Yarrowia lipolytica: one gene and its partner. The protein of the gene in region 1 interacts with the protein of each later gene in a pairwise test. Links are inferred from orthologs where the notes say so. Each region holds a gene or a part of one and is shown in the gene's direction. Other genes may lie near its edges.

The links. The genes of interacting proteins can lie anywhere in the genome.
Region 2: the proteins of YALI1_E17754g (region 1) and YALI1_D13963g interact in binary tests that used the Saccharomyces cerevisiae proteins (3 or more experiments, as listed by UniProt). The link is inferred for Yarrowia lipolytica from reciprocal best matches to the Saccharomyces cerevisiae genes TRP2 and TRP3.

What each region holds. Positions count from the first base shown.
Region 1 is NC_090774.1:1,772,967-1,778,197, reverse strand, and holds YALI1_E17754g (uncharacterized protein), read left to right. Parts: upstream 1-2,780; coding exon 2,781-4,304; downstream 4,305-5,231. Other genes in the region: YALI1_E17773g (uncharacterized protein), read right to left, coding at 400-903; YALI1_E17760g (uncharacterized protein), read right to left, coding at 1,214-2,149.
Region 2 is NC_090773.1:1,393,538-1,398,876, reverse strand, and holds YALI1_D13963g (uncharacterized protein), read left to right. Parts: upstream 1-2,535; coding exon 2,536-3,963; downstream 3,964-5,339. Other genes in the region: YALI1_D14004g (uncharacterized protein), read left to right, coding at 1-595; YALI1_D13976g (uncharacterized protein), read left to right, coding at 852-1,101, 1,188-1,255.

The sequences.
Region 1 (5,231 bases):
CTAGCCCCAACCGCAGAACAGCAGTCGACGAGCTGCCTGGCGGCGGAATCCGCCTCTACTACTCACCAATGCCCGATTTCCACCTCTGATCTTGCCTAGGACCCCGCCGGGTTTGCGCCACACCATGCATCCGCGGTGTAATGAGGGGTATTAGTTAACCTTGTCACGTGAGCCGGTTTCCCCTGCTACTGTTTTTTTTTTTTTTGAAGTATTTTACAGCACAAGTAGGGCCTTCAACAGGGAGATCCTCCTCACTGGTCTTGTTTTTATTTCTGTTTTCTGTCGACCAACCAATAGACACGAACAAACAAACAAACGGCGGAAAAAGCAAAGTCACCTAATACGGCACACGCCGACAATTCTGCTTATCGCACTCACCTCGTGGACCACACAAGCATGCTATGGCATCACGTGCTCTGATGGGGTTCTTTTTCTTTGTGTTGTTCGCCTATATTTTGTGAGACCCTTCCCGATCTCGGCTCGGAGATAATCGGATATATCCGGAACGCTGTGAAACGCGAGGTACCAAAAAGAACGCGAACCACCAGTAGACCTGTCTCTAAAGGAGGTTTTGTTTTCGACACCAAATTTAACCCTCACAAGACACCCCGCCAGTACGATGACGCGCGCGCCTCTTCGTATTCCTCGTATAGCCGCTCCACACTGTTTATGTCCCTCCACCCTGTGACTTCCTCTTGTGGAGTCACCTCGCATCTTGTACGCATTTCCAGGGCAGTCTTTCCTCTTCGGACATGCCGAGAGCCGAACACCACTGTTAAGCGATCGTCGAAGACGTCCATGATAACACTTGGACGAGGCGGGTGACGATGTCTTGAGAATCGAAACCACAGCGAGATAAAAGTATTTTGGCGAGGAAAAGAGCTGATACAGTTGCCGCTCCATAGAGACAAATAAATAATATATTACTACAAGTTTGGGAAGGATCTCATCGTAAGGGCGCTGTTGGGGCTCATACAAAAACGATCAACATGTCCTTCCCTTTATGATTATACTAAACAAGCCCCGGAAACAGTGCTCAATCGCAGCGTTCATGACGCCTGGAATACAGCCTGCGACGCACGCGATTTTTGGGGGCACGTGATTTGGGGGCACGTGACATGGAAATTGCGCCCTGCGGCTCGGCTTCAGGAAGATCAGTAGAAGGCGTTGAAGAACAGTGGGAAGCTGGTTTCAAACTCCAGAATTGTATCTGTTAACGCTTCTTCTTATCACCCTTTCGTCCCTTGGAGCATGAAGGACAGAACCAGACTCCCTGGGGAGGCTCTGCCAGACCCACACAGTCGTAATGGAACCATTCGTACTGACAGTCATCGTTATCACAAGCAACCATTTCTCCGAATGACGGCTGCTGACAGAAACAGTAGAGCACCTCGTCATCTTCCCCAGGTCCGGCTCGAATAGCAGCATCCAGAGATCCCACCGCCACCGTCTCAGGCATGTTTCGGAGCTGCTCAGAGGCACCCACAGACGACTCCTTGCTCATAGATGCAGCCTCGTTATTCTTGTCAGTCGCTCGCTTCTTTGGCGGTCGTGTTCCAGGAGTAGAAGACCGACTGGCCGCTGGAGAACCGCCTCTTCGACTGTTGGCTCTGTCTCTTGTGTAGTTTCGGGATGGGGGTTCCGGTGCAGGAGTGGCTGATGACGTGGCACGCGATCTGTTGGCTGAAATAGGTTTCTGTGGTGGCGCGCCACCCAACAGACCCTCGGCATCCAGCTTGTCGATGTCGTCATTCAGTTTCTTGACGTGTTTTGCCACTAGGGTCAGCGCCTGTGCTGCCAGAGTGCATTTCTCGTCCTGAAGCTCCATGGCGGTCTGGAAGTCCTGGCGTATTTTGGGGTATGCCGCCTGCTCCTTTGGGTTTTCTGCCAGGGAGCCATTTGCTCTGATGAATTTGTGAATCTGGTTGTCGCGTTGTTGGATGCGCTTGCGGGTCTCATAGAACTTGAGATCCTTGTCTCGGACCTCTTCGAGGATGTGTGCGACCTCGGACGGCAGGTTCGCCAGGTCCTGGACGTATTGGTCGAGTACCGACGCTGCGTCCATTGTTGGGTGGGTGATGGCAGAGTAGTGGATGGGTTGATTAAAGTGGTGTAAATAAATGTTTGGTGTGACACAACCAGAGTGCATATTTTATGCAGCTGTCCCAACTAGAAAACCAAGAGTTTTAGTTGGACTTTTTGTCTTTTTAGAGGAGAAAATGACATCTACAAGATACAAAGGAGAAGAGCTGATGTGGCAAGGTCGAACGAGAGGTGAATACAGCCCAATAACGATTACATGACCACAATGAACAACCACTGGGTAACCCAAGGGTTTTTTTTCGGGCAACAGTACATACTGTTACCAGACTACCCAATAGTAGTTCATAACACACTTGTACTGACGATACTACTAGTATTGCAAATTCCCCAATACAATGCTACATCAACACAATTTCAGTACACCCAGTGACCACGCTTGCATAACCCCACATCTGCAATGAAAAGACAGAGCAGTAGACATCATGGAGAATCTCACCAACAGCTCACACACACAACAAAGTCCCCCCCACGGAGCCCCCACTAGCGCCACTAACGCCTCTACCTTAGCTCTCCACTAACAGTGTATAGCCGCAGTCCCCTTACCAGTAGCTTAGTGATTCATACCATAACCCTATTTGAAATTTGTGTGTATGAAACTTTCCTCGACATAGAGTCATCCGGTACCAGTAAAACGTGCGTTGTAACACCGACAGCTCAACGGCTTCACTTACTCCACAATGATCCAACTCAGACCCACTCTAGAGGCTCTTCAGACCATCGTGGCCGACAACCGAGCCGCCGCCACCAAGGAGACTCTTCCCGACAACCTCTATCCCGTTTTCGCCTATGTGGATGCTGAGGCCCTGACTCCTCATACTGCCTACCTCAAGTTGGCTCGTCTGGATGACCCCAACCGAAGTCCCTCGTTCCTGTTCGAGTCTGCCCTCGGTGGTAAGCATCTGTCCCGTTACTCTTTCATTGGATCTAATCCCCGGAAGATGATCAAGACTGGTGCTCCCCATGGACCTGACGTTGATCCGCTCAACCTGCTGGAGTCTGAACTCGACCAGTACCGACAGTTCCAGACCCCCGGCGTCCCCACTCTTTGTGGAGGAGCCATCGGATACATTTCGTACGACTGCATCAAGTACTTCGAGCCCCGAACCAAGCGAGATCTCAAGGACGTCCTGGAGGTCCCCGAAAGTGCCCTCATGCTCTACGACACCATTGTGGCCTTTGACCACGTCTACCAGCGACTCCAGGTTATCACCAATGTCAAGGTTGAGGCCGACACCGATCTCACCAAGGCCTACGAGGACGCCAAGAAGGAGGTGCAGCGAATCGCAGACCTGCTGACTTCCCCTGAGGTTCCCCAGCCCCCCCAGGGACCCGTGACCCTTGGAAAGACTTTCACTTCCAACATTGGCCAGAAGGGTTACGAACAGCACGTGACCACTCTTAAGGAGCGAATCAAGAAGGGAGACATCATCCAGGCCGTGCCCTCCCAGCGAGTAGCTCGGCCCACCGACCTGCATCCCTTCAACGTCTACAGACACCTGCGAACCGTCAACCCCTCTCCCTACCTGTTCTACATTGACTATCTTGATTTCCAGCTTGTTGGTGCTTCTCCTGAGCTGCTCGTCAAGATTGAGAACGGCCGAATTGTGTCTCATCCCATTGCTGGAACGGTTAAGCGGGGAGCTACTCCTGCCGAGGATAACCAGCTGGCTCAGGAGCTTCTCAACTCTGAGAAGGACCGAGCTGAGCACGTCATGCTGGTCGATTTGGCCCGAAACGATGTCAACCGAGTATGTGATCCTCGATCCACTTCCGTCGATCGGCTTTTGGGTGTCGAAACCTTCTCGCACGTCCAGCATCTCGTTTCCCAGGTGTCTGGTGTTCTGCGACCCGACCAGACCCGATTCGACGCCTTCCGATCCATTTTCCCTGCCGGAACCGTTTCTGGTGCCCCCAAGGTCAAGGCCATGGAGCTGGTTGGAGAGCTTGAGAAGGAGAAGCGAGGTGTCTACGCCGGTGCCGTTGGATCTTTCGGCTACAACGGAGAGGCCATGGACACTTGCATTGCTCTTCGAACTATGCTTCTCAAGGACGGTGTTGCGTACCTGCAGGCCGGAGGAGGCATTGTCTTCGATTCTGACGAGTACGACGAATATGTCGAGACTATCAACAAGATGATGGCAAACAACCGGTGTATTGTCGAGGCCGAGGAGATCTGGGCTGGACAGCAGAAGGGTGAGTAGAGGCGATGAAGATGCACTTCATTGCACTGCGCACACAGACACAGCCACAGACAGAGACATGCAAAGCCCAGCACCGCCAGACTCTTGTACTTGACCTAGTCAAATCCGTTTCACACTGTGAGACCCTCACCTTGAGTGAGAGGAGTCCCGTCGAACGACGATATGTAGATAATGAAGAAGGTTGTATACCTGTACAATACTGTGATTTTGTGTGTGAATTGTAGACAGAGAGAGAGCTTTGTGCATAGGAATTGGACTATAATGATATATGGCCAAGGCGACAAGTACGGATTCGGATACTTGGCTTTCCTACAGTACCCGCAACTAAGTGTTACAGTAATCCCGCCGCATGTCTGTCACAGAAGGCTGTTGTCTTGCAGGGGATTTGGCGTGAAGCATGATGTCACAACGCTCCGACGTAGACCCACCCGTTTGTGTTCCCCACTCCCGTACCGTTGACCCCACCCGTTTCTTTGTCTTTTTTAATTTGTCTTGCTTGTTCTTGTAGCCCGATGGAACTTTGGTGCATAGATCGTCGTCCTTGCATCGGAACTAGGTGGGCTGAGCAGAGGTGGGGTACGATAAGCTGGCGGGAATAGGAAGCAGGAAGTTGGGGGCCTCCGAGATCCGGTACCAAAGTATCTCTAGCCCAACTGTAAACGCTCCGCCACTGCGCGGGATAGTTTGCTTTGCTCCGGACCCCACCGTCTCAGGGTTCAATAACTGCAGATCAGGCACACTCCACGTGGGCCACTCTTGTCGATCATATTGAGTAATTAGATAGTAGAGAGCACTTCAGGGTGGGTGGTGGAGGAGATTAGATCCAAAAGCCCCGCAAAGTCGTGTATGGTATTGGACAATTGGATATCAACTCATGCGTCAGATAGGACCGTGGAGGTGGATTTTTCTTGGTTTCATAATTTTCAG
Region 2 (5,339 bases), on another chromosome or scaffold:
GCTTTCCAAGAACGAACTGGGCTCCTCCCTGCTTTCAGTGGTGCTCAAGATTGTTTCTAGCTGGTCTGAGCCTCTTTTGGGACTGGATATTCTGCGCCTCATGGCTGAGAAGCTGGGCGCTCCAAAGCCTGAGATTGTCACAGCCGTTGAGGGCGCTGTTGCATCACCCAAGCTGGCCCACAAACTCATGGGGGTTCGGTTTGTGGTCAACAGCGTGGCTGCCAAAAATACATTCCCCGACGTTGAGTCGGTCATTGATACCGTTAAAGGGACTCTGGCTGACTACAAGTCGGAAAAGCTGTTTGGCCAATATGAGACTGCTGTTGCCACACTGCTGCTGGATCTCGCTGTGAACGCATACGACGGTGGCAACGTGGAGGCTGCCTTTGGTCTTCTGCAGAGCATCAGTGAGGTGTGGGAGAAGGTGACTGGCAACGAGGCCGTCTTCCGACTGGCCGTGGCTGCGGGCACGCTGTTTTCTCTCAAGAGCGAGGAGGTTGCCAGCTGTTATGATCTGTTCAACTATGCTTCTCTGGTGGCTCGTCCCTATGATGAGCTTCGGCTCAAGAAGGTCATGGTTAATCTCACCAAGTAATATAGCTGACATAGAAAGATGAATGAATATACGACTGAATGAAGCGACACATGTAGGATGTTTGAATTGTAGCAACCAGAGGAAATATACCACAAGTATGTGATTTTTCTACTAAATCCCCCATATTAATCATTCTCACCTCTATGCTCACTTCAGGGTAACTCACGTTACGCGTCACGTCGCATGCAAGGTTGGGTGTTAATTACCTGAGGCCAGTGTTTCTTTCATCAACATCACACATTTCAAAAACACAGCCATGAGTTTCCCCACAACCCCACGAATCAACAGCGGTCTTCTCGGCGACTTCTATGGAAAGACGGTGCGAATCATCGGCAAGGTCGAGTCTCAGGACGGCGAGATCGTCAACCTGGATGCCAACGGGCCCGTCAAGGTCAAGTCTGACGGCTCCGATTACGTGGTTGGCCACTTCTACGAGGTTGTTGGCAAGGTGGAGGGAAGCGATCAGATTGTTGGTCTGACCGCCACCGATTTCGGAGAGAACATCAGTGAGTAGGAGTGACGGAACGACGGACTAACGGAATGACGCAGTAACGGAGACACCAATCTTGCCACTAACAGATACTAACTACAGACCCCGAGCAGGTGAAAAAGCTGGTTGGATACTGCCAGAAGTTTCCCTCTGTTTTCGGTGAGGCATAGATGCATGAAAAGGGCTATGTTATCTTACTGGAGGTGGCGAAAAACCTGTGGAGGATATTCGCTTTACGACGTCCACAGAATAGAGGACATGCTACAAGTAGTAGGACAAGGGGTTGGCGCCAGGCCAGGTGTTTGGTGGAAGTATATATTAATAAATATTGTTTGATTTGGAGGAGGCGAAAAAGCACGAACACGGACACCGTTTGTCGTGGGTTCTTGTGGATTCGACCGTAGTATGGTCATCTTAGGGCATGCAAATAAGGCCACAAGAACCGACTCAACCGCAGCCAGCACTGATCCTCATCCCATTGTTGGTTGATGCCCGCTCACGAGCATCGCCCATTCACTCCCGTCACTTGAGCAACTCATTGGCGGCATCGTTGACATTGTCGAGCTTGGCGAGAGTTTCGACGAGGCTATCCCCAATGACAGTCGAAATAAGCGCCTCGTCGTCCTTCTGGGCGCCGCACTGGGCCACAATCTTGGTCTTATCGTCGCTGGTCCCACAGTAAGCGATGATTCGGTTGACATGGCCGATCTTGAGGTTGCGGGCGAGTCGGTCAGATGTGGCGAAGGAGCCAGCCAGACGGGAGCCCTGGGACACAGCTTCGTCCGTCTCCGGTTGCGAAACGATATTTTCAGCCGTGATTGTGCAGATGTGTGATGACATGGTGCTGTATGGGGTATGGTGGAGTTCAAGGCTCTTCCAAGATGTCCTGTTCTGTGAGGGTGCTGTGAAGATAAGAGTTCGACTTTGGGTGTTGGGAGATTGAATTTACTGGAGAAGTTGTACGATACAACGGACTCCTGAGATGATGGTTGGTGTGAACCAAGTACAACTACCAGACTTGCGTCTCACGTGTTGGTAGGACTAATGCTGGATTTCATTACTAAGCAACACCTGTGCCTCTCGCCAATATCCTTCTATACTCTTCTCAAATCTCCTCCAACCAATAACCGTAACTCCATCATATGCACTCATGAAGAAGTTCGCCGTTGTAGCATGCGTGGTGTTACAAGAGGTGAATGGGATGGATGGTGCAGACACGATAAGATATAAATAGAGCGGTGAGCTGAAAAATACAGCCCCAAATAACCCCTAGCAGCCTTTTTCCCTGCTCCCGAACAGCTACAAGCATTCTTTTTCACTGCTCTTACTTGGATTGTACAGTAGTATCAGCACCACCACCCACACCTTCAAACTCTAAAGTCGAGTCACAGTGTTTGACTTTGAAATTCTCCAGAAGACGGCTCAGTCACCACCCCCGAACTACACCACCATGGCTTCCAAGACCAAAGTTCTTCTGATCGACAACTACGACTCCTTCACCTGGAACATCTACGAGTACCTGTGCCAGGAGGGAGCCGACGTGGAGGTTTTTCGAAACGACAAGATCACCGTGGAGGAGATCGAGGCTAAGAACCCCGACATCATCTTCATTTCCCCGGGCCCAGGACACCCCAAGACCGATGCTGGAGTGTCTATCGATACCATTCATTATTTCAAGGGCAAGAAGCCCATTGTTGGAGTCTGTATGGGCCAGCAGTGCATGTACGAGGCCTTTGGGGGCACTGTGGGCTTTGCTGGAGAGATTGTCCATGGTAAGTCTTCTCCCGTCAAGCATGACGGCAAGGGCCTGTTTGACAACATTGCCCAGGATGTGGAGGTGACTCGATATCACTCTCTTGCCGGTACTCGAGAGTCTCTGCCCGAGTGTCTGGAGATCACTGCTGAGACCCACAATGGAGTTATCATGGGAGTGCGACACAAGGAGTATGTCATTGAGGGAGTGCAGTTCCACCCCGAGGGCATTCTGACAGATGACGGCCGAACCATGATCTCCAACGTGCTCAAGTTTCGAGGAGGAACCTGGGCCGATAAGAAGTCTTCCGAGGATAAGACCCCTGCCCAGACCTCTATTCTGCAGCGAATCTACGCCCAGCGAAAGGCCGACGTCGACGCCCAGAAAAAGATCCCCGGCCAGTCGTTTGAGGATCTGCAGAAGTCGCTGCCCTACGCTCCCAAGCTCATCGATGTCAAGCAGCGTCTTCTCCAGAAGACTCCTGCCATGATGGCCGAGATCAAGCGAGCTTCTCCCTCCAAGGGCCCTATCGATCTGCAGGCTCATGCTCCCACCCAGGCTCTCATCTACGCCAACGCTGGCGCTTCTGCCATCTCTGTCCTCACTGAGCCTCACTGGTTCAAGGGCTCGCTGGAAGACATGCGCCTGGTTCGTCTGGCCGTGGACTCTCTGGAGAACCGACCTGCCATTCTGCGAAAGGAGTTCATCTTCGACCGGTACCAGATTCTTGAGGCCCGACTCAATGGAGCCGACACCGTGCTGCTCATTGTCAAGATGCTGGACGACGAGCTGCTGGCAGACCTCTACAAGTACTCCAAGTCTCTGGGCATGGAGCCGTTGGTGGAGGTTGCTTCTCTGCCCGAGATGGAGCGTGCAAACAGGCTCAACGCTCAGCTCATTGGTGTTAACAACCGAGACCTGCATTCGTTCAACGTGGACCTCAACACCACTTCTTCAGTCATGAGCCTAGCCTCGGAGGATATTGTGATTGCTGCGCTCAGTGGCATCACGTGCAAGGCCGACGTGGAAAAGTACGTTTCCGAGGGTGTCAAGGCTGTTCTTGTCGGCGAGGCTCTCATGCGAGCCAAGGACACTTCGGCTTTTGTCAAGGAGCTCATTGGTTAGTTGGAGAGTGTGAGCTCTCGTTCCGTACACCTCTACAGACCCCATCGAACCGCGTTCGACAGTACTGAGTCCGGTCCTTGGACCAGAATCATGCGCTTGTTGCGCCACAAAAATCTTAGCCAGAGTATAGATGATGAGATGTTTCCAGAAGACCATGTCATAACATGTCTTTTGATGTCATTGAAAGAGACATTGAAAGACTACAAGTAGAGATATTTTATCAGTGCACATTCCTACGTCAACAATAGATGATACAAGAGTAAATTTCTTGTAAATTCCGCATTTTCCATCATTCTTACAGTGTATTATGCTGACGGTGGCTGCTACATAATTTCAGCTGTAGATAATAATATGAGCTCACACGCCAAAGTGACACATTTTTTCCTACACTGTATAATTAACTGGACGAGGGCCCTGTCTATTATTGAGACGAGCCGTATGATTATTATTTCTCGTACAAGGCAAAGACACATATCCGAGAGGCAGTGCAAGTCTGAACCTGATGCCCTGGCATGTTCTATTTCCAGTCTGTTCCTGGCCTGTTCTAATTTTGTCCGCTGTCTCCATTCGATACTACAAGTTCAACGTGGACTTGCGTCCCTACATGTAGCGACGTGTTCACGTGTCTGTGGAATGATAGCTGCGTAGTGACGTTGATCCATTTTTCTTTTTCCGTTGCCGTGATACTTTACAGGGGTAGATGGAGGTTGTACCTTGAGGAGTATCGTTTCTTTTGGCTATGGCCATCTTCGTGCTTGTTCGAGGAACGGGGTATATTAGGCGTGAAACAAGGTGGTTATCGACAACAGTTGCAATGGACACTGTAAATCACCATTATTAAGAGTACGAATACAAATCGGTACTGGTATGGCGTCGGCACATCAACGGCCAGTAATTCTGGACAATGTTTCACTTGTGCGGTCTCCAAAGCTCACCTGTTTTCCACAGCTTCCAATGCATTCTGCAGCGACCGCAGCGTACATCGGAAGCATTCCTACTCGCACTTGTACACCGTGTGGAAAACGGGCCGTTCGGGCGACTCAGGGGTCTGCGACGGCTGCTCTTGAGAGCATTCTGGGTGCCTGTCATCGCGTCTGAGTTGGGCTCTTTCTCTGAGCTAATCGACATGTGCTGTTTGCACGTTGCAAGCAGGGGAGTCGGGAATGATGCGTGCATCAATGGAATGCTTGTGGAAAAATACGAGCGAGACATGCAACTTGGTGCCAGGAGAGACTCACACAATACAAGGAGAACAGCGGCAAAAAGAGCCAGAAAAGAGGGGACAAAAGTCACAGAGACAGGGCCAATTGCATTTCTGTTTCGCACTACAAGAAATATCCACACATAGGCCTCAGTCAGACCCAAGTACCTCCACT